Caenorhabditis elegans: one gene and its partners. The protein of the gene in region 3 binds, or shares a complex with, the protein of the main gene of each other region. Each region holds a gene or a part of one and is shown on either strand. Other genes may lie near its edges. The genes, in order: mdt-4, sop-3, mdt-15 and mdt-1.2.

Region 1 (6,624 bases), on a different chromosome or scaffold from region 3:
AGGCCGATGAATTTCTGTAAAATGTTTATAGATTTATTAAATTTATTTAATAAAAAAGGGTTTTTAATATTATTTTGTTTTTAGAATAGATGGAATATTCTTAATGTTGCCAGTTTTTGTTATTGTAGATTCGCAAAAAATTGCCAGGTCAGTTTAAAGGCACATCATGTATTTTCGAGTGGGTCTCGCCACGAACTCAGTTCAAGTGGCCGCTACAGGTGCCAAATTTTCGCAAATATGTTTGTTAGATGTAGAAAATTACTTATATAATTTTAAAATTTTAAAATTGCATATAGAAAGCTATTATTTATGATTAAAAATTTCGAAGTGGAGGAAATTTTCAATTTTCTATAGATTTTCTAGACAGCTCGGAAAATTTGATAAATTGTGGGAAGTTGGGTCTGACTAGATTAATTAGTTCGGTCAAGTTAGGCAATCCTGGAGGAAAATTTCTTAAATTGTATAAGATTTTTGAAATCATAAAAAGCATTCAATTTGTGAGAAGTTTTACGGATTTCAAAAATAATTGTATTTATTTATTAACTTTTTGAACTAATATTAGAGATGTGACAAAATATCCATTATGACCTTTACGTGAGGATATTAATGTGAAGATCTGGGACAAAGATAAGAGAGAAATTTGCTATAAATTGAGCAGAGTTTACCATAATCTTCACTGTAAGTTTCCACACTCTACAAAGAAGTCGCCAGTGCCCAATCCGTCCCACCAGGAGATATCCAGACCCAGCCGGGTACGAAGATCGTGTTCAATGCACCGTACGACGACAAGCACACCTACCACATCAAGGTGATCAACTCCTCGGCTCGCCGTATTGGATACGGTATCAAGACCACCAATATAAAGAGACTTGGAGTTGATCCACCATGTGGAGTTTTGGACCCAAAGGAAGCTGTTCTTCTTGCTGTTTCCTGCGATGCCTTCGCTTTCGGACAGGAGGACACTAACAACGATCGTATCACTGTTGAGTGGACCAACACTCCGGATGGTGCTGCTAAGCAATTCCGTCGGGAATGGTTTCAAGGAGACGGTATGGTTCGTCGTAAGAACCTCCCAATCGAGTACAACCCATAGGAAATACATCTTGAACTTTTTCCAAAACCAATAAACTTTCATTGATAGCTCGTCTTTTTTTGTTTTTTGGCTGGGCCATAATTTCAGGATATTCTCTTCGAAAAGTTATCCAATCGAGATTCTTTCAAATTTGCAGGGAAAATGGATCCTTTCATTATTTTTACATACAACGAGGATACTGTTTTTTGCTGCTAAATAAATATTTTTCAAAGCTCCTCGTTCGTTTTCTCTCTTTTCCATTTCAATTTGAAAAAAAAACAAACCAAATTTGGACCCATACGGCCTGCAGGAGGCCATGTAACTCCGTCTTCTTGAAAATGACAAGGCTGATAGTAGAAAGCTGCTCCAGCAACATGCCCGCATGTTTGCATCAGAATTTTCGGTCTTCGTTGTGGAGTCATCGAGTAATCGTGCAAAATTTCAAAGTTTTCCTCGACTTTTCGCAGTTTCTGAAAAGAAAAAGAATTCATTTTCTTTTTTAATTTCTCAATTTTCCCAACAAACCTCGCTCATAATTTCAAGACGATCCTCCAAAAAGCTCTGAATTGGAGATGAGACCATCTCACAAACTTCATCGAACGATCCGAAATCCATTGTTTTCTGTACAACCCATTTACGGAATGCAACGTCAAACATGTCAGGAGTGCTGAGAATTAGAAGAGCCATTGTTGAGTCATCGTACGGAAGAGCAAATGGGCTACTCTCACCTACTGCTTCATTGTAAGATCCAATCTGAAGGACGAACTTGATGATTTAAATGATTTTGGAATTACCTTGAACATATGGGATTCAAATCCTTCGTGTGAGGAGAGTTTTTGGTCGACAACTCGTTTGATGGATTCTGCATGGCTCATTTCAGTTACCATATCTGAAAACATGGAAATTATTATCTAGACGCAATGTTTTGCGTCAAAAGTACGATGCCTGATCTCGCCACGACAATTGTTTCATTTTTTCTAAATAAGAAAGGTGTGTTCAAACTGTCGTGTTGATTTTGGTGAAATTTATGCTTTATTCTATCGAAAACTATCGGAAAATCGATGAAAATTATATAGCAACAAAAGTTTGAAAGTACAGTACTCTTTAAAGGTGCACATCCGTTTGTATTTAACAACAAATTAAAGAAAGCTTTGTCGAGACCAGATGCAGTATTTTTTGCCGAAAAATCGCAAATTTAAGAGTATAATAAGATAGAAAGTATTAATTCAATTAAGAAAATTCAAATGAAATCTTGAAGAATCCTTCCGAAACAAAACATTCCACATGTATTGTATTCAAGAATCAGGACCGCCCATCTATATCTAGATTAGTTGTGTGGAGGCAAGTCAAAAGAAGATGTGTGGGAATGTGTCTGATGGGAGAGATAATTTCTTATCTATTACCAAAGGGCAAGTAATATAAAATGACATAAAAAACGAAAGGAGGCGAAATTTTACAACTTCAACTTTTCTTCAAACTGATTTGAGCCCACAAAAACAAAAAAAAGTGATGGCTAACAACACTTTCACTGCAACATGTTTTGTGCATCTTTTCACGTACTCCGCATCTCTCTTGTCATGGGTGGTCCCTTTCGTTTCTGCGTCTCTAGATGGGGTGAGTGTTTTTTTAAAATAAGATTTGAATCAAAAGCTAACTTAGGTATATTCCAAAATTTGGCATATTTCTAAATATAATTAGTTACTAGAATTGTTGAAAAAAAAGTTCAAGGAGTAAATAGATTAGAGGACATAAAGAAAGAAAGAAAGGCAGCTGGCATAGCGGTAAACATGGCGTGGACACTGAACCACATGCAATCAGTTAGTGTCACTGTTAAACACAAGATATATAGAAAATTGTGTTTATTTATCAACGTACAATAAGTAAAATACCAGAATTTACAGAGATCTTTCATTATTTATTGCTACTGCCAGTCTTTTTCGATGCGCCTTCATCATCTGAACTATCTGACGAGTTGGAGCTGTCCGACGACATTTGTTCGACATCCCGCACATCTTGAACTTGATCGATACCTCCTGGACGATTCGGAAGTCCAGTAATTTTCAGCTTCACGTTTGGCGAGGAAGAAGGACTCTGAAAATATGTTATTTATTGGAAAATTATAAAATAGCAGATAAATGTAGCCATATTTAGATGTTCCGCGCCTAAGAAGACGAAGAATGATACCTATGGCGTTGTTATAGCACACGTAATCAACGATAAAGCCTTTGAAGCCGGCAATCTCGACTTTCTGTGTGCATTGAGAATCGAACTGGTGGACAGCTGAACAACGGGCAAACGCGTTACCACTGCGCCACCCGTGCATCATTTGCGGGCCGCCAGTAACACTGTCTATGTACACTCGGTTTGCACTGACCTGCGAGACACGGTTGTAAGGGGATTGCGTTGAGGTGGCTCCTGAAACTCCCGGATTCTGCCATTGCTTTTCATTTGGAGTGGCTCCACGGAGTACTTGCTGTTGAATCGGTGGAGGCTCGTCGGTGCCAAAACCAGTTCGTGGACTGAAATCTCCAGTCGGAGCAGAATTAATAAGAGGAGTGCCGACAGTTCGAATTGGAGCTGTTCCACCGTTGGATGAGGATGCGGATGGAGACTGAAATAATATTGATTGAACGTTGAATCTTAATTTTATTTATAAAATTTACTACGAATAACGTAGAAGGAAAGAGATCACAATATGAACTGAATATTTCTTATCACTCATAATTTGATCATTAGAAGGAATGACTGTTAGATAATGTAAGAAGATAAGACATAAATCACGTGATTCACAGCTGTTCGGTTACAGTGTGAAAAGAATTTCAGATTAACGTAGAAAACATTAGAAGTATTGCATTTATATAAATGCATTTATAAATGCATTTATCAAATATTTCAGGTGAGGATTCACATTTCAACAAGTTTCCATAAACATACCGTAATAAGCGGCCTCTGAGCGACGTTCTTTCCGGGTAAAAGCTGAGGTCCAGTGCTCTGAACTTTTGAATTCAATAGGTGACCAGCTCGAAATTCGTGTTCCTGAGGAAACGGACGCGATGGATCTCCCATTTGCCAAGTGAGTGGTGCAGATACGGAGTTGTGCTTACTGATCTGATGAGCCAGTTTGATGAGCATCTCACTATTGACTGGTCTCAATTCAGCTTCTTTCATTTGCTTGAGCTTCTGGTTTGCCTGAAATAAACGTATTTCGAAAAAAGTCTTTGTTTCCAACAAAATTTACATGAAAACAAGATCGCGTCAGAGCCACCTCACATGACTTCAAATTCGTTTCAAGTTGTTGAATAACTTCGTCTCGTTTCTCCACGTGGGCTTCAAGCGTCCGAATGAGCTGCTCTCGTTCTTGAAACTCAGGAACCCTCTTCAGCAAAGTCTTTATGCTATCCTGTTTTGAGTCAAACAGCTTGATAATGTTCGTAACGGTTTCTCCATTTTTCAGCATAACACTTTTGTCCCGATTGATGAGTGTATCGACGATCTGAAACAATAATTGATTATGTGGGTTCATGAATTCTATAAGATGAACTCACAGTAAAAAGTAATTTTAAAATAAACTATAATATTGTTTCAAATTTTTTTAGAACGTACCATTTTAACAATATGCTCCAAATCATCTGCAGATTCCAGGAGCAAATCCCGTAGACTTCGTTCATCTGTTTCTGCCATTTGAGATCTAGAACAATACAACCATCGAACATACATTAACAACTTTTAAAATAATTAATTACCGAAACAACGGCACAAGTTTCAAAAAAAAAGAGAATATTTTTCAAAGAATTTAGTATAATTTGAAAACTTAAAAACTTAACAACAGGCCACAGATTTAAAGAAAAAAGTTAACAGTAAAAATTAACAAAAAAATGTTCAACAACGAGAAATTAAAAGCGGATAAATGTGTGTTGTTTAGAGGATTCTTCCCTTGTTTCTCAACTTGTTCATCTTTCTCTTCTTGACGTCATCGATGCGCTTCTGGAGATTCTTCTTTCTCTTGTCTTGCTTCTGAAAAATAAAAATTCAAATCTTAAAGGATTTTCTACCAATCAACATACCGTTTGCTTCTCTCCCTCCGTCTTATTCTCTCGGTTCTCCCATTTCTGCTTTCTTCTATCCTTCATCTTATTCTTCTTCACCAAAGCCTTCTTGAGCATTCCCAAATTATCTTTCACTTTTCCACCAGCTGCTCTTTTCAGTGTTTTCTCCCACTTTAGCTCATCTTCCATGATGGTAGCCTTATGTGGATCAGCTTCGCGAACTTTGGCAATTGTTGCTTTTGTCTCTTCGACTTTAGCGATAAGTGATTTATAGTCACGTCCGGTAAGTTTAAGAGCTCGATCTTTTTTGGCGGTCTGAAAATTTCAGATATTTCAGATAAAAATATTTTTACTCACTCTTTGTTTCTTGCCCCTCTGCTTGTCTTCTTTGATTTCAAACTTGAGATTATTGAATGAAATTCCAGATTTCTGCTTCTCGACAGGCTCATTGCCATTTTCTGTGCTTTCAACAGTCTCTTTCTTCACTTGAGCTGCTGCCTCTTTTCCTTTCTTCTCCTCTGCTCTTCTTTGTTTCAGCTTCAGCTTGCTCTCCCGTCTTTTCAAACGCTTCTCCTCTGCCATTTTTTCAGCCATCGCTGATGTTACCTTCGCCGGTCCTTTTCCTTTCCGCTCAACTTTCATTTCCTTCAGCTTTTTCTGCAGTCTCAGCAAAGCGATTTGACGTCTGATTTCGGGGGATTCATTGTCTTCATCGTCTTCCAACTTTTGAATCTCCTTGTCAATTTTTCCATTCGATTTCAGAGTAGATTGTGCTACGGTTTTGTTGGGTTTAGATGGTGTTTCTTCTTCTTCGTCCGTTGAATCGCTGTCCTCAGCCTCTACAGCTCCATTATTTCCTTCAGGCTCTTCTCCATCTTCACTGTCTTCATCATCATCTGAAGATTCTTCTTTCTTTTGCTTCTTAGCAACTGGCTCGTCTGTTTCTTCTTTCTCCTCGTCGTCAGATGAATCATCCTCTTCTGAATCAGAATCAGCTTTCTTATCTTGCTTTTTCTGGTCTTTCTTCACTACTTTTTCTTTATTCTTGTTCTGATCCGCTGGTCTCTTCACCGGTGCAACAACCTTTTGTGGTTGCACTTTCGAATGCTGCTTGCTTTTAGACATCCACTCGAGGACTTCTTGAACAGTGTTTGGAACCAATCCTAAGCCTTTCGCCAGATGTTGTTTCTGTTGTGCAGACATTGACTTTCTTTCCTCTGAAAAACATACAGAATTTTAAAGAAATTTATCAATAAATTACTTTTGCTGAGTTGTCGATTAACCAAACTGTGTTTTCGCATCTTCAATGATTCTTTGACATCATCATCAAATCCCCAAGAGTTAACTGGAATCAGGTTGCAGAAGGAGAGCATCTGAAATTAAAATGTTTTGTTTCTCGGCCACTTTTCGAGGATGTGTGTACGCTACCTCTTTTTCAAGAATGTCCACTGCATCTTCTACAGCTTCTAATGTTTCTGCCATCTAAAATGCTTAAAATTAGTATTT
Region 2 (7,386 bases), on a different chromosome or scaffold from region 3:
AGTTTTTTCTGTTAAAATATATCTGGTTTTGATAGTTTTAATCTCATTTTCAATGAAATAATATATTTTTAACGGAAAATCGATAAAATTCTGCAGAAACTAAATTTTGAAATTCGAAAATTCGTAACATTTTCCACATGAAAAAACGCTCAAAACACAAAATTTGGCGATTTTTGCGCCAAAAGGTCTCGACACGACAATTTTTTTGTTAAATAAAAATGATTGTGCGCCTTTAAAAATACAATAATTTCAAAATTTAATGAGGTTTTAATAGTTTTATTCTCTCGGATTAGAGTACTTTTTGAAAGTTTTATAGATTTTCTGTTAAAATTTATGTGGTTTTGCCAGTTTTAATTTAATTTTTTAATGAAAAATTATATTTTCAACGAAAAACTATTAAAACAACCAAATTTTGAAGTTACAGTACTTTAAATTTAAAGGCGCACACATTTTCGTATTCAAAAAAAAAATATTTCGTGTCGAGACCTGCAACCGTATTTAGGGGGGGGGGGGGCAGATAGCTCAGTCGGTAGTGGTGGCCGCTAGCAGTCTGGAGGTCACGAGTTCAAGTCCGGCCTCACCCCCTAGGTTCACCCAGCCTCTATTGGGAAGTGGAGCAATCCACGACTGGATTATCGGCCACAGTCCCCGGCTAGGACGTGGCTTAAATTACAGCCCAGAGGGATCACCACCAGGCAGTGTACCTGAATCCCAGATCCGCAGTGCATAGCACTTGAAGAACGGATCGTCCTTTAATCCTTTTTTTAATCCAAAAAAAAGCTCACAAGAAGCATCGGCCTTGGTTTTTCCCTCCTTCTCGGCGAGCCGAATCAAAACTGGCTCCGCAACATAATAAATCCGTCCAGAACGTAGCTCATTACGCGGAGCATAAAATCCATATTTCCCGGTGTTAATTGCAGTAAACGAAGAGTCGGCTGCATCTCGAATGAGCAACTGGTCGAGGGCTCGAAAAGCTTCTTTGCACGCGTTTTTCTCGCTTCTGGAAATTGAAATTATTGAAATTGAAAAAAGTAAGTTTCCTCACTGCAACTTTTTCCTCACGAGGGACGAGGAAAAGTGGTTTCTAGGCCATGGTCGAGGGGCCGACAAGTTTCAGCGGCCATTTATCTTGCTTTGTTTTTCGCTTGTTTTCTTTTGTTTTTCACAGCTTTTTCCCGTTTTTTCTTATTAAAACTGATAAATAAATACTTTTTGCAGATGCTAAAACAATTTCCAACTGAAAAAATTATGTATTCAGTGGGCAAGCAGCTGTGAAAGTGGGCATTGTAATATGATGGATTACGGGAATACAAAACCTAAACTTTTTCTGAAACATGATACATATGCTGCTTAAATGCTGAGACTACCTGATTTTCATAACGAGACCGCTGAAAAAGTTTTGAGGTTTTCAAAATTCAACTTTTTGTGCGAAAATCTCGACTTTTTCACCAAAAAAGTTGAATTTTGGAAACCTCAAAACTTTTTCAGCGGTCTCGTTATGAAAATCAGGTAGTCTCAGCATTTAAGCAGCATATGTATCATGTTTCAGAAAAAGTCTAGGTTTTGTATTCCCGTAATCCATCATATTTGACCATTGACCACTTTCACCGCTGCTTGCCCACTGAATACACTTTTTTTTACTTGGAAATCGTTTTGGCATCTGCAAAAAATATTTATTTATCAGTTTTAATAAGAAAAAACGGGAAAAGGCTGTGAAAAACAAAAGAAAACAAGCGGAAAACAAAGCAAGATAAATTGCCGCTGAAACTTGTCGGCCCCTCGGCCATGGCCTAGAAACCAATTTTCCTCGTCTCTCGTGAGGAAAAAGTTGCAGTGAAATTCTAGATTCTAGCAAAAATCAGCAATTTTTCCCTGAAATTTCAAAGTTCCCGCGCATTTTGAGTCTAATAAAACAGTTTTATCGTAATTATCATCATATTCCCCTTGTTTGACCTTCATCTCTCTTATCAAAAACTACAACATACATATCTTCGTCCGTCTGCGTCTCTCACAACTAGTTATTGCAACAAAAAAAAAAACATTCAGAAGTGGTCATACTTTCATCCATAAATTCGTTTTCTTTTTCTGAAAACCACCTTCAAAATACAGAAAATCTCGTTTTTATCGAAATTTTGGCTTTAAAATAGTTTGAATTTCATTGATTTTTTTATTTTCTCGTTTTTGTAGGGAAATTTTCCTGTATATTATATTTTTAAATAAGTTTCATATAAAATTTTTATAGCTGTATATAAAGGAACATCGAATAGAAAAATAGATATTTTTAACTATTTTCTATAACTTAAAGGTAGAGTAGTCGAATTTTTTAAAATTTCTTTATTAGACTCAAAATTGTCTGAAAACACCGAATTTCATAATGAAATTTCTTGAAAACTTCTCAAAAAAAAGTTATGGCCTCTCGAAAATGGCCTAAAATTAGTGAAAATTTGAAATTTGACCAACTTAAATATCTTTGTCGCAGCAGCTGGAAACAAATTTTTTTTTGAAACTGTCGTCTATTTTTGAGTAAACAAGTAGATTATCTTGCGTTTTCAGTTTTATTAAGGTATTTAAAAGTCGATGGACGAAGAGATTTTTCAAATTTTTTTAATCAATTCTCTTCGTCCATCGACTTTAAATACCATAATAAAGCTTAAAACGCAAGATAATCTACTTGTTTACTCAAAAATAGACGACAATTTCAAAAAAAAATTGTTTCCAGCCGCTGCGACAATGATAAGTTGGTCAACTTCAAATTTTCACTAATTTTAGGTCATTTTTTGAGCGTCATAATTTTTTTTGGAAAAGTTTTCAAGAAGTTTCATTATCAAATTCGGTGTTTTCAGACAATTTTGAGTCTAATAAAGAAATAAAAAACTCAACTACACCACCTTTAAATCAAAATTTCACAAAAAATGGTTTTTTTCTAGAATGTTCCTCCGCGCCACTGAATCAATTCTCGGTTTGGGCCTTCTGGCTTACGGCCTTCTCGAAATCTCGAGAAATCCGACCTGGTGGGCCTATACGCCGGTCTACTTGGTCCCGGCGATCCTCTCCATCATTCAAATTCCACGGAACGCCACGTGGCGCACTCTCTCATCCCTCTCCATCGTCGCCGGCGGTCTCTACACGAGTTTTCTGCTGTGGACGTTCTCCTCTGTGGAATCTATACCGACGATCGATTTGGAAGAAGAAGCCAAGAACCTTCCGCCGGTAATATATTATTGATTTTTATTCTTAAATGATTCAATAAAAATCGTTCCAGGTAGCCCTTGGAGCCCTGCTGATCAGCTTCATCCGTCTCACACAGGATAAGATCTCCCAGCCGGTGCATTATGTCAGATCTTCGATTATTCTCGCTGTCGCTCTCATTAGTTTTTACGCTTTTATTTCATATTTTTAGTTTTCTTTTCCTCTGAAAAATAAATATTATTAGCTTTACAATGTAATTTCCTTCGGAAGTGAGGACAAAATCGCGGTTATCGAATCGCGAAGCTTCGAGAATTCTCCATTTTTCATTAGAGCTAGAGCTCCTGGAGCATCAGTGAGCGGTTGACCGAAATAACCGATTTTGCAGGTACTAATCTGAAAGATAGCTTTATTGTTTTGGTAAAATCCCGTATTCAACGCACTTGATCCTCTGCAACACCAATGTCGATTGTTACATCAGGATTTCTGATTGAAAATCCACTATTTTGAGTTGAAAACACGCAATGTTCTCTGAAAAAAAAATTATTTATAAAATTTTTAATTTAAAAAAAATTTAAAAAAGCACTCACCCTAGGCCTTCAGATAATTGTTGAACTTTTCGAGCAATAGTAGCATCATTATCAATTGGTAAATGCTCTTTCATAAAAACCAGAGAGCCAAGAACGTCGAGACGGGTTCGTGCATCGAGTGTTTGCCTTTTCTCCTGAAAATTTGATTTTTTTTTCAATGAAAAACGGTGGAGATTGCAGTTACCAGCAAATTCCTCCTGACAGATCTCGCAAAATGCTCCCATCCCAGCTTTTCTGCGCTTTGGCGGACATTTTCCATTCGCAAATCTCGATCGATCGACTCCAGGTTTAACTCATGATTTTTCCTCTCTTCAATTATCATGGTAGGTTTCGCTACCTGAAAATCGATAAATATTTAATTATTTGCTGTTTAATAATATAAAAATTGAGAAATTTTAACGAGAAACCCATTAAAAATGCAGTTTAAAATAGAAAATCGGTGCAAAAAATATTTTGTTTTGCTGCGAACGACACTCCGTTATAACGCGGCGCGTGTTGTTTAGCAGGCGGATTTTAGGCCACAGCCACTGGCATCAATTGGCGGGTGTTTGAATTTAGATAATTCGTCTCAGGGTTTAAAACCGGTTTTCTGCAGAAAAAATCGATTTTCAAGTTATATTTTATTAACAAAAATACATCATGTTTCATTAATAATCTACAAACAAAATCAATTTATTCATCATCCTCGTGGTGTCTGGTGCGGTGGCGGCGGAGAGTCTTGATATCTTGATCCCGTTGGGCCATTTGTTCAGCAGCCTGGTCACGGTCACGGCGGTATTCTTTGTAGTTCTGAAAAAGAGAAGGAAATGTGATTTTTAAAAAAAAACGTTGTTTGAGCTCAATTGAGAGGAAAGGTCTTGGCGCGAGCGTTGCAAAATTAAACGTGCGCACGGGGTTCTGGCCTTCCTCATTGAATTTTTCGCGCTCCATTGACAATCGCCTGCCGGAAAACACGTGGGAAAGTACTCCACACGGGCAAATACATTTAGTTTTACAACTAAAATCGAGCCGCGACGCGACACGCAACGCTCCGTAAATCTATGCCAGATATGGCCGAGCCTAAATGACCTAGTTCGGCAAACTCTTCCATTTCAATTTATGAGGGAAGCCAGAAATCCGTGGAAAAGATTAAAAAAAGGAGATTTTCAACTAAAAATACATGGTTTTTTTCTTTAAAAATTCGAAAAATCGATGGCCTAGTTTTTTTTGAGTCCTAGGCCACCTACCAAATACGCCTGGGGTCTCTGCCCATTGCTGGCGCGAACACAGTAGAACAAGTCGTGAAGGCAAGTTGGAAGATATGTCTGTTGAAGCCCAATGTTCACAATATTATCGGCTCTGAAAAAAAACAAGTTTTATTATTAATTTTAAAAAAATTTAAATTTACCTGTTATATGGATAATGTCCACCTTTTGCAAATTTATAATCATTCTCAAGCTGTGCCATACTTGCCGGCCGTCCGTCGAAGAATCCGAGATAAGTTGGTGGATAGTAATTCGGGTAGTACCAGTTACCGAACTGCCCGTAGTCTCTGGCGGTATTCTCATTATAGTAGATATACTTTGGCAGGACTCTCGGCGAGTTTTCGTAGGTCCTCTGGTAGAATGTGTCGGCGACCTGGCGGTTGGTGGTGTCCGCCAGTTTTCCCGGCCCGGGGCCTCCGCCGCTGAAATTGCAGTCCGCGACGAACTGAAAGTTGGGAAGGTTGCACATCATTTTTCGAGTCTCGCAGCGAATTATAACTTAGTCTTGACACGACAATTATCACGTGGTGTCAAAGTGCCCCAAATGCGGGAGAAGAGACGCAGACTTTTAAACTAATTTCGCATAGTTAAGAGTGTGCTGAGAGAAAAATTCCAGCATTTTTTGTAGATCAAACCGTCATGGGACAGCCTGACACCACGTGAATTATTGGTTAAATGGAAATGAACTGTGCGCCTTTAAAGATTACTGTAGTTTCACCGATTTCCCATAGATTTTCTCACGATTTTTCAAAGTTTAAGAGTTTTCATAATATATTTTTATCGAAAAAAAAATCGCTGGAAATTTAGCAACAAAAGTAGATTGTGTCGAGACCGGGTACCGTATTTTCGGTACAAAAATTGCAAGTTATTGCGACTAACTAATATTACAAAGCCGCAGAGAGTTGTCTGTTGAAGAGACGCATACATATCGGGACCCAAGGGGCGTGGCGCGGGAAGAGCCAAAATTGTGTAGATTTACGGAGATCCACCTTGTAAATTTACACGATCTTGGCTCCCCATATATCTGAGTTCCCTGTAAATACCACGCCCACAAAACTGTGCCCATCTGAGCTCAAAAATTCAGATTTCCCATATTTGTGTGACTCGTGGCAAAAATTGAATTTTCCGCAACGTTCAAGGTTCTATGGGCAGATTTAGATTCTCCCGATCAAGATTCCCCGATTCGGAGCACAACGTGGAGCAGACCGCTCGCCTTCAGGACACTAGGGCTGTACAAATCGGCGTCCGGTCGTCCGATTTTGACACCACCGGACGCACTGCGTCCGGTTTTGGGGTAGGTTTCCACGGCGGCCGACAATTTCCGAGTTTCGCCACTCACTATACTTAATCAGCAATTTTATAGTGAGTGGCGAAACTCGGAAATTGTCGGCCGTCGTGGATAGCTACCCCCAACCGGACGCATGTGCGTCCGGTTCGGACGACCGGACGTCCGGTTGTACAGCCCTACAGGGCACAGAAAAATGGGCGTGACCTTTCCGAATCTCCACCTACCTGTACAACATCTTCACATGACATATCCCTTGGTCTTGGCTGAACCTTGTCACAATTGTTCTTGGACCACGAGAGCAGTGTCTCCGGAAGCGGATTCCATCGTTCGGCGAATTTCGCGAACGAGGCGCACATTCTGGCGGATGGAGCTGCTGTTAGCAGTGCCACGTGGCATGAGAAAATTAATATGAGATGATTGAACATCTGGAATTTTGAAAGTAGATTTTGATTTGGAAGCGATTGAATCGAAAAAGTGACCATTGAACAATAATGGAGATCATAAGGTAATGGGTAAAGAAAAACAGAAGAATGATAGAAAAAAGGATGAGAAGAAGGTGTAATCAGACGGGAAACGATTGATTAAGAATCACAAATTTTTGATGAGAAGACGGTTTGAACACACTACGAGACTACAAATTGACGGAAATTGACAAAAAATGTTGACTGTGGCTTTATAAAAAATACGTATAATAAATACATTTAAAAATTAATTGTCATATATTTTTTCTACAAGTTGAAATTCAAAATTTATTGATATGATTACAAAAATTATCCAAGATAGTAGCCAAGAGTCGGTAAATTCAAATTAGAGACATGGTGTTTCGACTTTTTTTTTTCAAAAACCAGCCAAAAGGTATTTACTGCAATTTCTTATAAAAATTGCCTTGCTCGAAACTTCAGCGGCTTATTTCTTGGCTACTTTTGATCTTAACCTAAAGTTTTTAACTAAAAAAATGTTTTAGAACCAAAATATAAGCTGCTAAAGTAGAACGAGGAACATGGTGCATCGACCGGTTCGACAGCTTATATCTCGGTCATTTTTGATTTTCACAAAAAAGTATCAACTGACAAAATGT
Region 3 (8,265 bases):
ATTCTGAATTTCCCTGTCAGCACCTGCCCTTCGTCTTTGCTCAGGCAATCAGCACCGAACTCTCTCTCTGTTAGAAAATGTCGCCAGTTGCTCGGGCTCTTTCCCTCTCTCTCTATCTCTCTCTCTATCTGGCTCACCGACCGCGTGGTGGTGCTGCTTCGTCGACACGCTCGTTTGGTGATAAATGATTTGCTCCCCCTTTTCGTTTTCTTTTTCTTCTTGCGTTGATTTTTCACATTGTTATTGCACTTGGCAGTGTCGTATTTTTGTGTTTTTATTTTGACCCATAAGTTCTAATACGATATCTTAGGCTCCCAGCTTGACTGGTGCTCTCATAATTTGAAATCAGAAGTTTTTCTTTTAAAAATTGAAAAAAGTGCACATTTTTCTTAAATTTTGAAGCTAAATATTTGAAATCTTCCACACTTCTAGTTTAATTCTCGATAACATCTGATAATTCTTTCCAAAATTTCAGGTCGAGCTGGCAAACATGGAAAAGCAATCACATTCCTCACACCTGACGATACTGCCGTCTATTTCGACTTGAAGCAGGTAAAAATTGTGGACGGACACCTTCCAACACACGTGTAATTGGTTTACTTTCCAGTGCGCGCTAACCGAATTCCCTTTCGTCTTTTTTCGCGCGCGCTCTCCGGCACTTCACACATGTGTTGTGGTGCTGGAAGGTTGCCTAATTTCTTGCACTTGAGCTGGTTTTCTCTCTGCGACGAAAATGGATTTTTTGTTAGGCGGAAAACGGAATTCGTTTTTTTTGTAAGAAAATGAAAATTATTCGGGAATGATAAGACCGGTAAAACGTTCCATAAGATAAGAACATATTTCAGCGTTCTAGAGCAATTTAAAACAAAAAAATGTTGTGATTAATTCTACAATTTTTGCGCCGAAAATACGGTACCCGGTCTCGACACGACAGAAATTGTTGTTAACTGCGAAAGGTCTGCGTCTTTAAAGAGTTCGGTAACTTCAAATTTTCATTACTGCGGTAATTTCAAATTTTCATTTCATTGAGTTTTCCCATAAATTCATAAATATATTTTTTTATCGAAAAACAATGAAAAATCTTTAAAAATTCGACTGAGATTAAAGTTTGGAGTTACAGTACTCTTTAAAGGCGCACACCTTTCACATTCATCAAGAGAGTGTCGTGTCGAGACCGGGTGCCGTTTTTTTGTCAAAAACTAGAAGAATTACGTTGACGCGAAATGTATGTCCCCTTGCTTTACAAAATTTTATACACAAAACATTTAATTTTTAAATTTTCCAGGTTCTCGTTGAATTGCCTGCGTCGTTATGCCCGAATGGACTCGCGGAACATGATGCTGCACGGAGCAAACCTAGACAATTCACATCTTGATGTGAAAGTGAACTTTTTGTTTGAAAATTTCAAACATTTTTCAGTTTTTTTAAAACTTACCAAATCTTCCAAATAATACTAACCACCACATATCTTCCATTAAAAAATTTAACGTTTTTCAGCGTTCTGAATATCTTATCTCTCTGGTCCATTTCTCCTACAGAATATCTCTATCTCATAATTGCCTATTTTTATTTGTTTTTCTTTCTTAATTTCAAGCGTTTGGGATATCTTATCTCTCTCAACTCCGTTTATTTTTTTCTCCTTATCCGTCTCCTTATCCGTATTCCTTTATTATTAATCTCTTCTTCGTTCAACATCGCTAAATATTTTTTTCAATTCCTAATTTCAGGTCAAACCGGGGAACGAATCAAAAAGTGATTTTGCCGTCGGCGATCCGAAAATTTTGCCGGCTCGTCGACTATTGACGAGAACAAGAGGTGAGAAAATGGGGAACTTTTTGATATTTCCATCCTGATCTTTTGTGAATTGAAAGTTGAATCACAATAGATCGATGCACCATAATACAAAAAGTGACAATTTTTCCCCACTTTCAACCATCCATTATTCTATTTCTTTTGCAGGAATCGTCGTTATTTTTCGTTTGCCGCGTTCGTCGTTTTGATTTGTTCTTCATTTTCCTTCTTGTCGATAATTGTGTGTGAATCAAGACGCTCAGAAAGCCGCCGCCACGTTGACGTCGACGGTTGTTGAATCGCTTGCAAAAGCAACATTTCAAAAACAAGAGCAGAGTAGAAAGATGAGCGAAGAGGATTGGCCTTCGCCGAAATTTCGAGAGCATGTTATTCAGAGACTGTAAGCTTTTTTTAAAGGAATATTTTTTTGATAACCGAGAAAACATTTTAAAAAATTTTTTTTTTGTTGAAAATTTCCAAAAATTTCCATTCAAAATTTTGATAAATTCCCAAGTATTTGTAAATTATAAACCATAGGAGCTGATGTCACAAATGTATCCAGGCTGTACTCTTTTTAAAAATGAAAAAAAAATCCCGAAATATAAAAATTTTCCAATTTTCAGTGAGCCTGAGTTGGCGAGAAACCGGCAGAATGCCCCAAATTTACCAGTACCCGGTGACGCGAGGCAGGTCGAAGAATATGTGTTCGCAAAGTGTATGTCGAAGGACGAATATATGAGGACGATCGCAAAAGTGATTAATGCTATCAATTGTAATAGTAAATCAGCGGCAGTGCCTTCCGTGTTACAACCATCACAGTTTCATAGTCCGCCGTGTACGACAGCAGGTAACTTTTTGTAGTTTTTTGTGGCAACGAAAATCTAAAATTTCAATTAGCTCTATTAGGAAACACTCCGGCTGGCGGAACACCCGGATATCGAGCTCCTGTGCCTCCAGATCCACAACCAACATCAGCTCAGGCAAGAAATCCACCTGTTACCGTAGCAACAACACAGGCATCAACAACTCCATCAGCACCAAATCCGCCAGGAGGATTGCCTGCTCCATCAGCTTCTGCCACTGCTGCTGTTGCCGCCGCGGTTGCTTCATTTCCATCACCAGATACAAGTATTCGTCCAGGTGGACAGATCACTCCAGGATCACAGGCACCCGGTGGAGGTCCGACGCCGGCACCAAATGTTCCATTCCCAAATGGAAGCAGCCAGATGAATGGTGGACCAGCAATGGGTCAGCCACCACCGCAAATGGGTGCTCCAAATATGGGTGGACCACCGAATGGATACGGTGGTTACGGTATGATGAATGGACCACCTGGTAGTGGTGCTCCAATGGGTGGAAATCCGTACAATCAGCAGATTAAAAAGGATGTGAGTTTATTTTTCAAATGTATTTTTTTTTAATCTGCTAATTTTTCAATTTTTGATTAATTTTTTTTTCAGATGGATCAAGCTCGTCCTTGGGATCCTTCAGCACATATGTATCAACAACAACCACAATGGGGTGCAATGCCACCACAACAACCACATGGATATCCTGGAAGACCAATGAACGGTCAAGGAGCCACTCCAACCGGTCCTTCATCAGTTCTTGAATCACTTATCAATCAGCCTCAACAATATCCAGGACATCACAATCAGATGGGCCCACCTGGAGATCGAAATGTTGCTGCTCAACGTGCAGCTGCCCAACAACAGCAACAACAACAACAACAGCAGCAACAGCAACGACCCGGAATGGTTCCAAACCAGGGAATGATGAGTTCCGAGGATCAAACCGTGTATTCTGCGAAATTGAGAAATATGCGTGGAAGCTGCGACAGTTTGAGAACACGAGCAAGGCAATGCAGACATGAGGGTAACCATGAAGCTGCTCACAAGCTTGAGGTTATGCTCAGTGTGCTCGAAGGAAAACGTGTGGTTAGCCTTGAATACTTGAACCATTTGGAGATGTGGATTGCCAGAAAGCAAGACTTCTTGAATATTGCTCCAATGTCACAGAATCAGAATCATATGGGAATGAACGATCCGATGATGAACGGTGAACATGCTATGTTGGGTAATGGTCAGGTGCCAAATCCCTACGGAGGACATCCAGGTTATGGACATCAGCAGTATATGGGACCTCCACCACCACATATGCAAATGCATCAACCACCAATGTGGCATCAACAGCAACACCAACAGCAGCAACGAATGATGCCACAGGATCATATGATGATGCAGGGTGGAGGTGGTCCAGTTCATGGAATGTATCGTGGAGATATGGGACACGATCCGATGACATCACCAGTCAACAATCATCGTCATGCTCCATACCCGAATCCTGCAGCGATGAGAAACAATATGAGAATGCCAAATGGTCCTGGACCAATTGGAAGAGATCGTAATTCGATGAGTGGATCAAGTATGTCAGGTCCAAGTTCTGGAGCCCCTTCAATGAATCCAATGGGTACACCGAATCAAAAAATGGGAACACCTGGATCAATGGGTGGAATGTCAGGACTTGATGATCTGAACTATGATGATTTCCTTCCAAACCCAACGCCGATTGATGCACTTCAGCCAACATTGCACGTCGGGCAGAATTCGATGAATGTAAGTTTTATATTAAAAATTGAGTTTCTCAGCTTTCAAAAAAAAAAAACACACAAAGTATCCTCAAATGATTTTTGAAAAAAGTGAAAAATAATTGTGTCGCCGAAAACACGAAAAAAAAAATCGAAAAACGAAAAACCTCTGATCTCAAACAGGGACACCAAAAACATTTTAGACCAAAAACAAAACATTTTCGTATTTTTTCTTCTCCCGACTAAAAATCAACATTTTCGCAATTCAGTTTTTTTTTCTTTTTTTGGTCCGAAAAAACCAACAAGATTACCAAAAAATCTATTTTTACAAAAAAAAAATCAACAGCCAATCAATAATCTCAATCAATAAATATTCAGGCTGGTCCACCAGTTCAACGATCAAATCTCAATGAAACAGCAAGAAAGGAACTTCAAATCCTTGATGCTCGATTCGAGATTGATCCAAACCATCAACGTCATGATGCCAATCATATCATTGTCGTCTGTAAAATCCGTAATCAACAGTTCCCACCACTTCGACTCGTTGTTCCAACCACTTATCCAGCTGGAAATGTGACTGTAGATCGAGCAGTCATTGATTTGGATGCATATTTGTATGATGATCTACAAAATTCAGTATATGAGAGATTATCACGACCCGGTCTTTCGTCAATTACTGACTATTTGAATGCTTGGGTAAGTTCTTTCGCTGAGAAAGGGAAATTTATGAAAATTGCACTTCAAATTGAATTTTAAATTTATAATTTTCTACAGGAAGAACAAGTGAATCAATACCAAAACCAGACAAGCGGTGGTCTAGACGTCGCTTTCAACGTGGGCAACGATTTCTTCTACGATAATCTTAACTTGTAAGTTAGGTAGAGTGCATTAAGTTTCTTTTTTTGTGCCTGCTCACTAAAAGTTTTGTTATTCAATGTTTATTTTTGTAAAATAATAAAAAATATGAAAAACATTATAAAATAAAGTTGGAAGTGAAAAAATTCCGGAAAGTTTTAATTTTTGTAATAACTTTACAAAAAGTATTACTCAAACGCGAAAGTTTACGATTTTTCACCAAAATTACGGTAACCGGTCTCGACACGAAAAATGTTGGTCAAATGCGAAAATATGTGCGTCTTTAAAGAGTACTCTATTTTTTCATCGTTTTTTGATTAAAAAAATATATACCTGTCAATCTAAAAAAAATACCCGAATTTGACAATGAAAACACAATTAATATGATTTGAAACATGATTTTAAAATTACAGTACTCTTTAAAAACGCAAACCTTTAAAAAAATTAGAAGACAGTTTTTTTTAAACAAACTGTTTTCTTCTCAATCAATGTTTTCTAATTTTCAGGTCAAATCCGTTCTAAACTCCGCCTCGTCTGAATTGAATTGCTCAGTTGCACAAAACCTGTACAAAAAAGAAAATCGAGTCTTCGTGGAATGGATTCAGTTGTTGTTGTCCTCTATAAATGATTGTTTTGCCTCCTCCTCCTATCATCAGCTTGCCCTTCTATCCATATCAGTTTTTTTTCCTGATTTTTTCCTTGTTTCACGTTTCCGAATTCCATTTTCCACGAGACTCCTGCCTCCGAATCGATTCCTAGTCGTAATCAGACTCAAACCTGTCCAATCCTCATTTGAAATACGGTTCAAAATTTCCATTTTCCTCTCTCTCCTCTCCCCTCATCTGAAAAACTGTGTAGTGCGTGAATAATTAGTCCCCAATTTCTTCTTCGTCCTCTTTGAAAAATGTGATAATAGAAAAAAGTTCTGGAGCTCAACTACGTGTCTTTTTAGGCTCTCTTTCGATGAGCATCGTGAGCTTCTGATACTCCCTTCCCTTCCCTTTCTACACGTGTGTCTCCCTGGTCTATATTTCATTATTTTTTCCTTTCTCACACTGTTCAAAAATACCTCAAGAATTTTTATATTTTGCCCAGTTTTTCCCTCCCCCAGCAAGAAAAGTTTAGTGATTATTATAGAAATGATAGAATTCGAAACGCGTTCATTTACTAAAATCAGGGATTGTTTTCTTTTTTTTTGAATATTTTTAAAATATTTGTTCTTCTCATTTTGCTGCCTTGTATATGAGATTAGTTTATCATTGAAACTGTAGATTTTAGCGTGTGTGCATTTGTTTGTACATCACATCATTTTAGATTCTTTCCTCCTCGTTTTGAATCTGTGATCCGATCTTTTGTCTGAAAAGTATGTTCTCTTTCAATTGTCTTCCCTTCCCACAAAAACCGTTTTTTTATCCTTGTTATTATTTTGTTTTCATTCATTTTTCACCCATTTTCTTCTCTCACATATTGCACCTCTTCTCCAAGTCCTGTGTACATTTCTCTTGCACCTTATACATCCAAACGAAAAGGCAATAGATTGTAATAAGTTCTCCGTTTTTACAGCCGTCCCAATTTTCTCTCGCTAATTAATCTCAAAATATTTTATTTCGTCTTTTTATATTATTTTTGTTCCACATTCTTTTTTCATAAAAAAAAAATGAAAATACATAAATCGATTAAATGCAATGAAAACCAAAGATTTACAATCCGATGATATGAAATATCAGAGAAGAGAATGAAAAAGAGGGGGATGGCAATGAAGTACCTGTTGATATAAGGAGAAGAAGAGAAAGAAGAAGCAGTTCAGCGACACTGGAAGCAGAGAGCAAAAAATGCACCTGCTACGAATCCGATTCCTGCGATGCTGGCTGGGCTGAAATAGTTTTATAATTTATATTTGGGACCAAAAGTATGCATCTAGAGCATCTTTAAATTTTGTTTTGTTCGAGTTTCCGAATAGAGCTCTGCAGCTTTAAAAATTGATTACGGTAGATTTACTGTTAATCTGGGACGAATCCATCAGAAACCTCGATCGCGATGTGCCCAGTATGCTCGCTGAAGCATTATGGGCCCAAATAAACTCTGATTCTCCGTCATCCCATTAATTTATTTTTCAAAGACAGAGATAAATGCATTATTAGTTATGATGTATGGTTCTTGCGTTTTGTAGTTTTCTTGAGCAGTTAAATTCAAATTAAACTGAGAATATGCCAAGTAACACAATTTCGTATTAAGTACCTCTTATCGAACTTTAGAATTAGTTAAAAACTCACTAGACCCAATATCGTAACCGATAGCAACATTCGTTATCACAACATGTTCCAAATGAGAAGAACGTGTCCAGTTCAGGATCGGCGCATCTGAAAAATTGAAAATTTAGAATAAAAATTGTCCGTGAATAATAATAGTTATAAAGCCATTCTCACAGTTCCTATATCCTTAAAGACTACAGAAATACGATAGGAGTTACTCTTTTTAGTTACTAGAAATTTTTTCAAAGTGCAAATTGTTACGCAAGAATACAATAAACGGTCTCGAGACAACCAAAATTAATCTATGGAATACTGGACACTGTAGTTCCCACTTTTCGCTATCTACAGTACACTACAGTACTCCTTGAAGGCGCACACTCTTTTTAAATCCTTTTAAATATTTAGAAATTTCGTGCCGAGACCGGGAACCGTATTTCTCATGAATTGCGATGAATCTGGGTAATAAAAGCTTTCAAATCTCCCCTCGCTCCAGGAGGACTTATAATTCCCTCAGAGGTTCAAATAGTCCATCATGATTTTTTAGGGAAATTCCCGACCTCCAGGAACATTATTCATCTTCACATCTTTTGCCCCCATTTTTCTTCTTTCTCATCATCACCCAAAAAAAAAGAAAAAAAGAAAGAAATTCCTCTTCTTCTTCTTCTTCTATTTTCTTATCCATTTCAGTTGATCCTCAAGGGGAAAGGATCTCTCTTTCTCTTCCTTCCCACCCGTTTTTTCCCAAATTACCCTCCATTTTTTGCGCCTTCCGGAGTAGAC
Region 4 (7,564 bases), on a different chromosome or scaffold from region 3:
ACTTCACCTACCTGCCTGCATACAGGTTAACCACAGCCGAGTATGAAAAAATTCAGGCTAAAAACTATTATTTAAAAAAAATTCTAAAACCGCTTGGATACAATATGGCTAAATATGCAAACTTTGCCATTGTTTTTTTTCTAAAAGAATTTTCTAAAGATCTTTTGTTAGTTGAAGTATTACCAAATTAGTTCAAGAAGTTCCTTTTCTCGAAATAAAGATTTTTCCAGATCTGCACTAGACGTCATGTGGAAATTTATGGATTCAACCTCCTGAAGCTAGTCGCCACTATCAACTTCATCGTCTGGTGCGTTCGTCAACTCTATATATATTTTGTTTTGACTTTTAAAATTTTTCAGGTACGCCGTCCCTCTAGTAATCCTTCTTTGCATCTACGCTACCATCGGCCTCGTGGTGAGCAAGGCCGCAACAATCACGAAACACTCCGCCAACAAGCTTTTGCCAAGATCAAGCTGGCGATCCGAAGCCTCAACCGGCGGTGTGTCAGTGGAGAAGAGGAGAAAGGTTTGTTTAAAGATTCAGAACATGTGTTCACAGTTTGTTTGTGCCAAGTCGAACCACTTTTTCTCAAACGTTTAGTTCTGAGAGATGACACTTAGCCATATGGTAAAACCAAAAGTTATTGAAATTTGTTGAATTATTCAAAAGTTTGGTATAGGGCAGCATTTGATATTTAGCTTGAAACTTGCTTTTTAAAAAAGTACATGTATAAATCAAAAGACTAGGCACATGTGTTTAAAACCAGTTCAAAAATTGGAACATTTATTAACGGGACAGAAAAAAAAAGGGTCATTCACTGTGAGGAAAGCCTCCAGATTTTCAGAAGTAATATCAAACTACAAACTACAAAATCGACAAAATTTATAAACATACATTTTTCAACAAAAAAGTATTTTGTTGATATATTTCTGACATTCAATTTCACTTCAGGTTGGTCGTTTGGCAGTCGGAATCGTCGTGGCATTCGCGTTCTTCTCACTCCCGAGATATGTATATTTTATGTGGACCGTCTGGCGAGATCCGATGGGTAAGCACGTCGTCCACCTGAACCTCCAAGTTCCAAGATCATAAACATCAAACTTTTCAGCGCCAAGATGTTTGAACTGCCTTCAAAGTGTACTCCAACCCATCAGTTTCCTGCTTCTGTTCTTTAATGCCGCCGTCGACCCATTCCTCTACGCATTCCTTTCAACAAGATTTCGTCAAAGCATCAAAGAAACATTTCATCTTGGAAAGGTAAAGAATGTTCTCCAGCCAAGACATTTTCATTCTATTCGATTCAGCTTTCAGGTGCGTGAAAGCAACATCGAGCAGTCATCACGAGTGCGGCGTAAGGTGTTAAACTCGGAGTTGGAGACGGGTTACGAATATCATAATCACTCATAACAAATGTACATACATGCTTTAAAATTCTAATCCCACTTATTCACACATTCTCACACATATTGCGTTCTGTTTTTGTGATCTCACCCATGATTTTCAAAACTTTATAATGCTATCACCGTTTCTTTCCACAACAGTCTCCTGTCAAATTTGTAACATATACGTAATTATGGATATAGTTTCTGTCAATAATGAATTTGTCAAAAAATCAATTTTTTGGGTTTTCATGCTTAAACAGAGTTTGTAAATTATATTAATCCCAAATTACAAAATTATGCAATCGGATTTCTCAAAAATGTTTTAAAACTTTTTAAGAAAGGTCAAAATTTCAATGATCATTAAATGAACATTGATTTCCGGCCATGTGCCACATACAAACATAAATATTGAAGATTTTAGCTGAATTGAACAGTTTTTTTTTGAAATTTTGAACTGCAATGTAAAATATTTTAAAAACTTTGAAAAGTCTCATTATGAAATTTAGTTGTTTGGGTAAACTTTCGAGGTCTTTGGGCAACTAGAGCTACTTTTATATATTTTCAGCAAGCTTACAATTGACATAATTAAAGAAAATATTGCCCAGTTTGACTATTAAAGATATTTTTGACCCTAAGTAATCAACTTTCAGTATTCATGCAAAAAACCTCTAATCATTTTTTTCTGCTTTTCAGCTCTTTGAAAAATTCAGATGGCAAATTTTAAATAATACAAATGCATATAAAACTTAATTTCAAACATTCACAACAATCAAAATGAGTATCAAATAAGGCTCAAGTATATAATAAAACAAAAACTATACAAACACATCATAAGTCAAAAATCCGTTAGAAGGAACGTCCAGCCGCATAAGTTGGAATTGGGCCCACAGTCTCCGGGTTTTCACTTCTCAACGGAACTTTGATCTTTGCCAAGTTGCAGTCACTACCCGACACGGCGTAGGTAAGCATATTTGGAATGCTCCAAGTTCTGAAATTTTCAAATGTTTTCTCTAGGATGTTCTATGGACAAAGAGTTGGCACCAAAACTGCTATTGACATTCTCAGGAACTTTGCAACAAGTCCTGCGTTTGCGTTAGTGTACGGTTTCAACTTACTCATTGAGTTTTCTGCTCAATGTTTCATCAATCTTTTCAGCAATCTGGAGGCCTGTCTGTGCATGCACAACATTCACCTTTGCCTCACAAACTCCACTATCCTGGATTACAACTGCAAATTTACTTAATATTAAACACTTTATCTATCTAGAACTCACCTTTGACCGGCGCAAATTTTGTATCAAAGGTGATTACAATTTGCTCTCTTGTCAGAAAAACGTCCATCTTGATTGCGGCAACCGTGTGCTTTTTCATACCCTGCTTCTCATAACACGCGGATATCATCGACTCCCAAAGGCTGATATGCATGGCTTCGTTGCGAAGAATTGCAATTATCTGCAATTATAATTTATTTTTATCGAGTAGTGGAATATCTGACTACATATGTTAATGATGTCTTAAATAATATTTCTACTTCTAGTATTTGAACGGACTCACAAAGTTCAATAATTCCCTGTGGCAAAAAACCGAAAGTTGCAAAATGTGTGTCCATATTATGTAAAGCATGCATTAGCATGTATGCTTATTTTCTCAAAACAAAAAAGATACTCAAATGTTTATGTTTTTGCTAATTGAATCATGAAACTGGCGCTTTTAAAATACAATCTATGTTACTACTGCTTACCTCATGAAAATCTTGCAAATGCTTCAAATAAATCTCAGTGATCACAGAGTCACCATCATTGCGCAACTGGTTCACATCGACATTGTAGAAGTGTTGAGTTTGTCCATCGCCAAACTGTGTAATCATCTGCAGGTTGTTCTCAATCTTCACCGCTCCAGTCACGTAGCGATAGCTATTTGTGAAATGCTTAACGGATGGAGTCTTTGCACTGATTGCTCCCAACTTCTTTCTAGTCGTTTCAGTAAGATTGAACCCTCTGGATAGCTTCATACAAATCACAGCGTTTGCTTCAATAGATTCTGCCCAGCCTCTGGAAATTTACAATTTTCAATAATATTAAGATGTGAATGAACTCACTTTGTGTCAAACTCTGGAAGTGTACACGGGCTATCATGCTTGGCAAACGAAAATTCAAAGTATGGCAAAACTTCGTGATCATCCTTTTGTAACTGGAAAATATGATCCTTGGAGCGAATGTTCCGAAAGTGTGGTTCCGCCAAATAATATACACGCCCTGCGCGGAGATCATTACGTGGAAGGTAGAAACTAAAATTAAAATTTTTCATTAAAAAAATAATTATAAAGTTACCCATAGTTGGATCTGTGAATTGAAGTGTAGGAAGGGTCTTGAGAGAAGTGTCCAAAAAGCATCTCGAGCATTCTCATAGCTCCCATGCAGTTTCTACGATCGTCTCTGAAAAATGGGAGTGAGTTCTAGAAGCATTATTTTTTGCTTTGCTCAAAGTCAAACAACATACCTGCTCAACAACTTATCATACGTCAACAGCATATCTGAGATTCGGTTTCGAAGCTCTGTCCACATCCCTAACTGGAGCATTCTTGTAGCTTCTGGGGAGTAGAATGAAGGCTCTTCCCAAAAACTAAGCACAACGGTTGTCACTTCACCATCGTTGACAGTAAAGTCCATGATGAGATCTTCTTGACGATTGATGGACCATCCGCGAGAAGTTTGTTTGTGCAAGCATCTGGAAATAAAAGTGAGCTATGTATTTTAATAAATTTTGAGCGATTAGAAGTTATGGCTAGGCAAATTTCAAGTGGATAACGTTGGAATATGTATAAGTTTTGTCGGACTCCAACGTACCAGGTTTCTAATTTTTTTAAAAGGAAACTAGTCTATCGAGAAACAAATGTTGTGCAGTACTTTCATTTATTTGTGAAATGTAATAATGTGTAAAGATTTCAGAGAAATTGAGTAGGTGCTCACTTTCTTAATTTTGTATATTTAGTACGCGATTATTTTCTAGCAATTGGCAGTCGGTAAACTCTTCTAGTTTTTGACAGGTTTGCGTCTCAATCTTGGATACAAGTACAATATTTTTATTACAAACTAGGGTCCGATGTGGAACTGATTTTGGTTCTTCAAGAAAACATGAAACTTGACAGTGTTTCAGAAAATTTGAAGTATATGTGGGTCTACTCCTTTTTGATTTTTTTCTTTCTTGAAGCAACAGGTGCTACGAAAAATAGATTTCCAAGTTATTAATGCTCAATCGGCAAATGAATTCTACCTTAAGAGCACTCAAAAATTATACATTTTGATGCATGTGAAAAATAGGTGCAAGGAAATGCTCTATCATTTTTAGCAGTTAAATTCTAGGTTCCAAAAAAGCCAGGTTTTTATGGCAGTTTTCTAAATTTAACGCCATTTCTCTAACTGAAAACTTACCCAAGACTCTCAGCCATAACCCGTATCTTCTCCTCCATCAGATTGTTTTCCTCGATTGGCATTTTTGTTTTCATGTACGCAATCCCGTTGAGCACGTCAATTCTACCATCAGCATCGATTGTGTTACGTTTTTCCTGCAATTCATGCATTTTTCAAATTGTCTTTCACAATAAATAAGTTTAAAGAAAATAGTTACCAACAAGTTTCGCCTCACAGCCTGCCCGAATGATGTCCATTCCATTTTTGATGCGGCTTGCCGGACCTGTTCCAATCTCATTTCCTCGTCAATATGCTCAATGTTGAGCTCTTGATTCTTCCGCTGCTCCAACAGGTAAACTTTCGTTTTCGGTGATGGAGTGGAAACCATTCTAAAATCGAAATTTAATCGAGTTGAATACAAATTTACAAATAAGAGAGGAAAGTTAACAATAAAAAATAAATATAAACAAAAAGAAATAAAAAATAAGATGTCGTCTTCAAAGGGAAGTCCGCAAAATGCCGTGATGGTGTTTGCACACTGTCTGCACACTCCTTGGATACCTTATCTCTAGCTAATGCGTGTTTGAGAGAGCGGGAGAGGAACATGGGCAATGGAGGGGAGAAGGACACAGCCAAGACATTAGAAAAGTGGTGTCATAGAACATGGAAACGATGATGAACAATTACAATTGCTAATGGAAAAAAATAAGTATGGGAATTTCGAGAAGAAGAAGAACTTGTCAAAAAAAATTTTTTTTTGCTTTTCCATGCCAGTGTTTTTCTATATTTTCAGTTCAATCCTAGGGCGAATGACAATATTTTTTAGGACCTAATGTGAATCTGGACAAGTATTTGCGGTATAGTTTTTGTTTTTATTGGGGCTTGAAAATCGTTACTAAATTGTGAAAACATCTTGATGGAAACACTCCCAATGATAGCCCATTTTGAATATGACTAAGATATTTTGCCGAGAATACTTTTGAAAATAATTTTTTCATTACAAAAAAAGTAGTTTAAAAGTGTGTTGAAAACGGTTTTGCATTTTAAAAATCACTAAATGATACTGCCACTTAAAAAAATGATTTTACACACATTTATCTTCTTTTTGTATAATACATACATATTCTTAAACAAAATTTGATAAGTTTACAAACGGTCGTACTTTTGTCATTCTACACCCTTAAATTTTTAAAATTTTTCTTCAAATAAAAAATTTATACCGTGAGATTATGCATTATTTTTACTAGGTATTTTTCAATCATCAAAGACTCCTGGCAGTTTTTTAAACTTAATTTCAAGTTGCTTAATATCAAATTTTCCCCGTTTTTTTAAGTTTCATCTAATTTATAAACAAGCTTTATATATTTTCACAACATGCCATGTTTCGGTGGGATTCCCAATGCAATCTCACAACGTTATGAACATTTTTGCTGAAAATTTCAAAAATTTCGAGAATTTTTCCACAAATCGTTCACAATTCAACAAAAAATCTGCTGATCTAAAATTTTCCCAAAACGAATATAGCATGTATCACAAATCTTTCAATGTTCTTTCATCTCTTTGTTGAACCATCTGACGAACAGGTGCTCGAACACTGTTGCGCTTTTTTCGCCTCAACAGATGTTGGACCTTCGAGGAATTGCACAACGGTGCTCTGTGTTCTCCCTCAATTTTCTGGTGGTGTAGCCGTTGTGTGCATTGACTGCGCAGCCAGACCCACCAGTTTCCTCGTCGTCGTCGTCTCTGTTTCAAGTCCAATTTATAGGGCGGGCAGGCGGCTGTGCTGCTGGTTTCGTTGTCTCGCCGTCTTCCATTCTTCGTCTCGACTGGTTGGTATTAGGTCGAATGTTTTTTTTTTTGGATTTTACAAGTTCTCTCTCATCCAATTCTTTCTTCACTCTCATATTTCAATTGGCCACTTCATTTTCGATGTTTGCACACTTGAGCGAACTTGTTTTCGAATTTATAATCTGTAAATTTTAAAGCTAACAAAATGTCGCTGAGCAGTCAACAGCCTGCAGAAAACCAACCATTCGACTTCAAATCATCACAACTTTACTGGAACTCCACAGCTGCACTCATGGAGTCTCAATTCAAAAACAGTGAGTTGATTGGATACACTGAGCTTATGAGCTCGTTTGAGCCAGAATTTCTCATTGAGGATTCCATGAATTCTCTAGAGGTTGTCCACACTGTTGCACTTTTAAATATAGAATGCCTTATTTTTGTGTCGAGCCAAACTTTAACAGTTTAGCGTAGAGCTTGAGTTCTCACATAGTTTGACCATAAACTGGATCAGGTTGTCATGGAGATTCAGAGGTACGAGGGGCTTATTTACTTGGTTGTGTAAGGTGTGAAAACAATTATTATGGGACTAAGAGAATGAGGGGGATAGACTACCTATTTTGAGTTCCTGCTGAGAAACAATATACATGCATATGATAGCGTGAATAATATAAAAAAAGACTGTAGAACAAAACTTAATTGTCAAACAATCACCACTGCTATGAATTTTTTTTCCATTTTTTTTAAAGCGAGAACCTGAACTCACTATCAAGGTCTGCTAGATCTGATCATTTTTGTTCAAAGTCTGAACTTAGTTTGTCCAAAGTTGATCAATTACTCGTAAAGGTTCAATCTGAATAGTGTGCGGTGTGAATTATGTTTACAGAAATTCAAATTCAGATTTTTTTTTTTTGGAAATTGATCATATGTAAAACTTTTGGTGAACTTCATTTTTTTAGTGAAAAACGAGGATTTTGTGTACCCAGCA

Evidence for each region.
Region 1: mdt-15 (region 3) and mdt-4 share a complex: the UniProt entries of both Caenorhabditis elegans proteins name them as parts of the mediator complex.
Region 2: mdt-15 (region 3) and sop-3 share a complex: the UniProt entries of both Caenorhabditis elegans proteins name them as parts of the mediator complex.
Region 4: mdt-15 (region 3) and mdt-1.2 share a complex: the UniProt entries of both Caenorhabditis elegans proteins name them as parts of the mediator complex.

Annotation. Positions count from the first base shown.
Region 1 is NC_003280.10:4,939,190-4,945,813, forward strand, and holds mdt-4 (Mediator of RNA polymerase II transcription subunit 4), read right to left. Parts: upstream 4,761-6,624; 5' UTR 4,754-4,760; coding exon 4,676-4,753; intron 4,566-4,675; coding exon 4,311-4,565; intron 4,262-4,310; coding exon 4,007-4,261; intron 3,684-4,006; coding exon 3,447-3,683; intron 3,331-3,446; exon of another isoform or gene 3,164-3,330; coding exon 2,984-3,163; coding exon of another isoform or gene 2,974-2,983; 3' UTR 2,918-2,973; downstream 1-2,917. Other genes in the region: cblc-1 (MMACHC-like protein), read right to left, coding at 1-14, 1,357-1,542, 1,598-1,825, 1,867-1,959; ZK546.19 (uncharacterized protein), read left to right, coding at 2,582-2,686, 2,974-3,129; SURF6 homolog gldi-11, read right to left, coding at 4,991-5,086, 5,137-5,433, 5,476-6,335, 6,380-6,491, 6,547-6,600. UniProt on the Caenorhabditis elegans protein: Component of the Mediator complex, a coactivator involved in the regulated transcription of nearly all RNA polymerase II-dependent genes.
Region 2 is NC_003279.8:2,771,985-2,779,370, forward strand, and holds the start of sop-3 (Mediator of RNA polymerase II transcription subunit 1.1), read right to left. Parts: upstream 4,118-7,386; 5' UTR 4,099-4,117; coding exon 3,961-4,098; intron 3,911-3,960; coding exon 3,777-3,910; intron 3,718-3,776; coding exon 3,630-3,717; intron 3,583-3,629; coding exon 3,440-3,582; intron 3,438-3,439; exon of another isoform or gene 3,401-3,437; coding exon of another isoform or gene 3,263-3,400; intron 3,211-3,262; coding exon of another isoform or gene 2,929-3,210; exon of another isoform or gene 2,928-2,928; intron 1,001-2,927; coding exon 786-1,000; intron 1-785. Other genes in the region: Y71F9B.1 (uncharacterized protein), read left to right, coding at 2,929-3,210, 3,263-3,400; Y71F9B.13 (NADH dehydrogenase [ubiquinone] 1 beta subcomplex subunit 7), read right to left, coding at 4,449-4,565, 5,003-5,114, 5,164-5,465, 6,533-6,664. UniProt on the Caenorhabditis elegans protein: Component of the Mediator complex, a coactivator involved in the regulated transcription of nearly all RNA polymerase II-dependent genes.
Region 3 is NC_003281.10:5,827,208-5,835,472, reverse strand, and holds mdt-15 (Mediator of RNA polymerase II transcription subunit 15), read left to right. Parts: upstream 1-1,727; 5' UTR 1,728-1,815; intron 1,816-1,959; 5' UTR 1,960-1,996; coding exon of another isoform or gene 1,997-2,089; 5' UTR 2,090-2,135; coding exon 2,136-2,191; intron 2,192-2,414; coding exon 2,415-2,638; intron 2,639-2,688; coding exon 2,689-3,179; intron 3,180-3,251; coding exon 3,252-4,406; intron 4,407-4,756; coding exon 4,757-5,074; intron 5,075-5,152; coding exon 5,153-5,251; 3' UTR 5,252-5,348; downstream 5,349-8,265. Other genes in the region: R12B2.6 (uncharacterized protein), read left to right, coding at 1,320-1,451; R12B2.13 (uncharacterized protein), read left to right, coding at 1,997-2,089; R12B2.8 (ORF6), read right to left, coding at 7,037-7,106, 7,507-7,593. UniProt on the Caenorhabditis elegans protein: Component of the Mediator complex, a coactivator involved in regulated gene transcription of nearly all RNA polymerase II-dependent genes.
Region 4 is NC_003284.9:17,149,138-17,156,701, reverse strand, and holds mdt-1.2 (Mediator of RNA polymerase II transcription subunit 1.2), read right to left. Parts: upstream 5,181-7,564; 5' UTR 5,180-5,180; coding exon 5,009-5,179; intron 4,947-5,008; coding exon 4,813-4,946; intron 4,109-4,812; coding exon 3,881-4,108; intron 3,817-3,880; coding exon 3,712-3,816; intron 3,669-3,711; coding exon 3,480-3,668; intron 3,433-3,479; coding exon 3,123-3,432; intron 2,834-3,122; coding exon 2,656-2,833; intron 2,610-2,655; coding exon 2,498-2,609; intron 2,371-2,497; coding exon 2,229-2,370; 3' UTR 2,055-2,228; downstream 1-2,054. Other genes in the region: npr-21 (G-protein coupled receptors family 1 profile domain-containing protein), read left to right, coding at 231-307, 360-525, 952-1,048, 1,109-1,257, 1,312-1,407; T23C6.4 (Caprin-1_dimer domain-containing protein), read left to right, coding at 6,785-6,893, 7,536-7,564. UniProt on the Caenorhabditis elegans protein: Component of the Mediator complex, a coactivator involved in the regulated transcription of nearly all RNA polymerase II-dependent genes.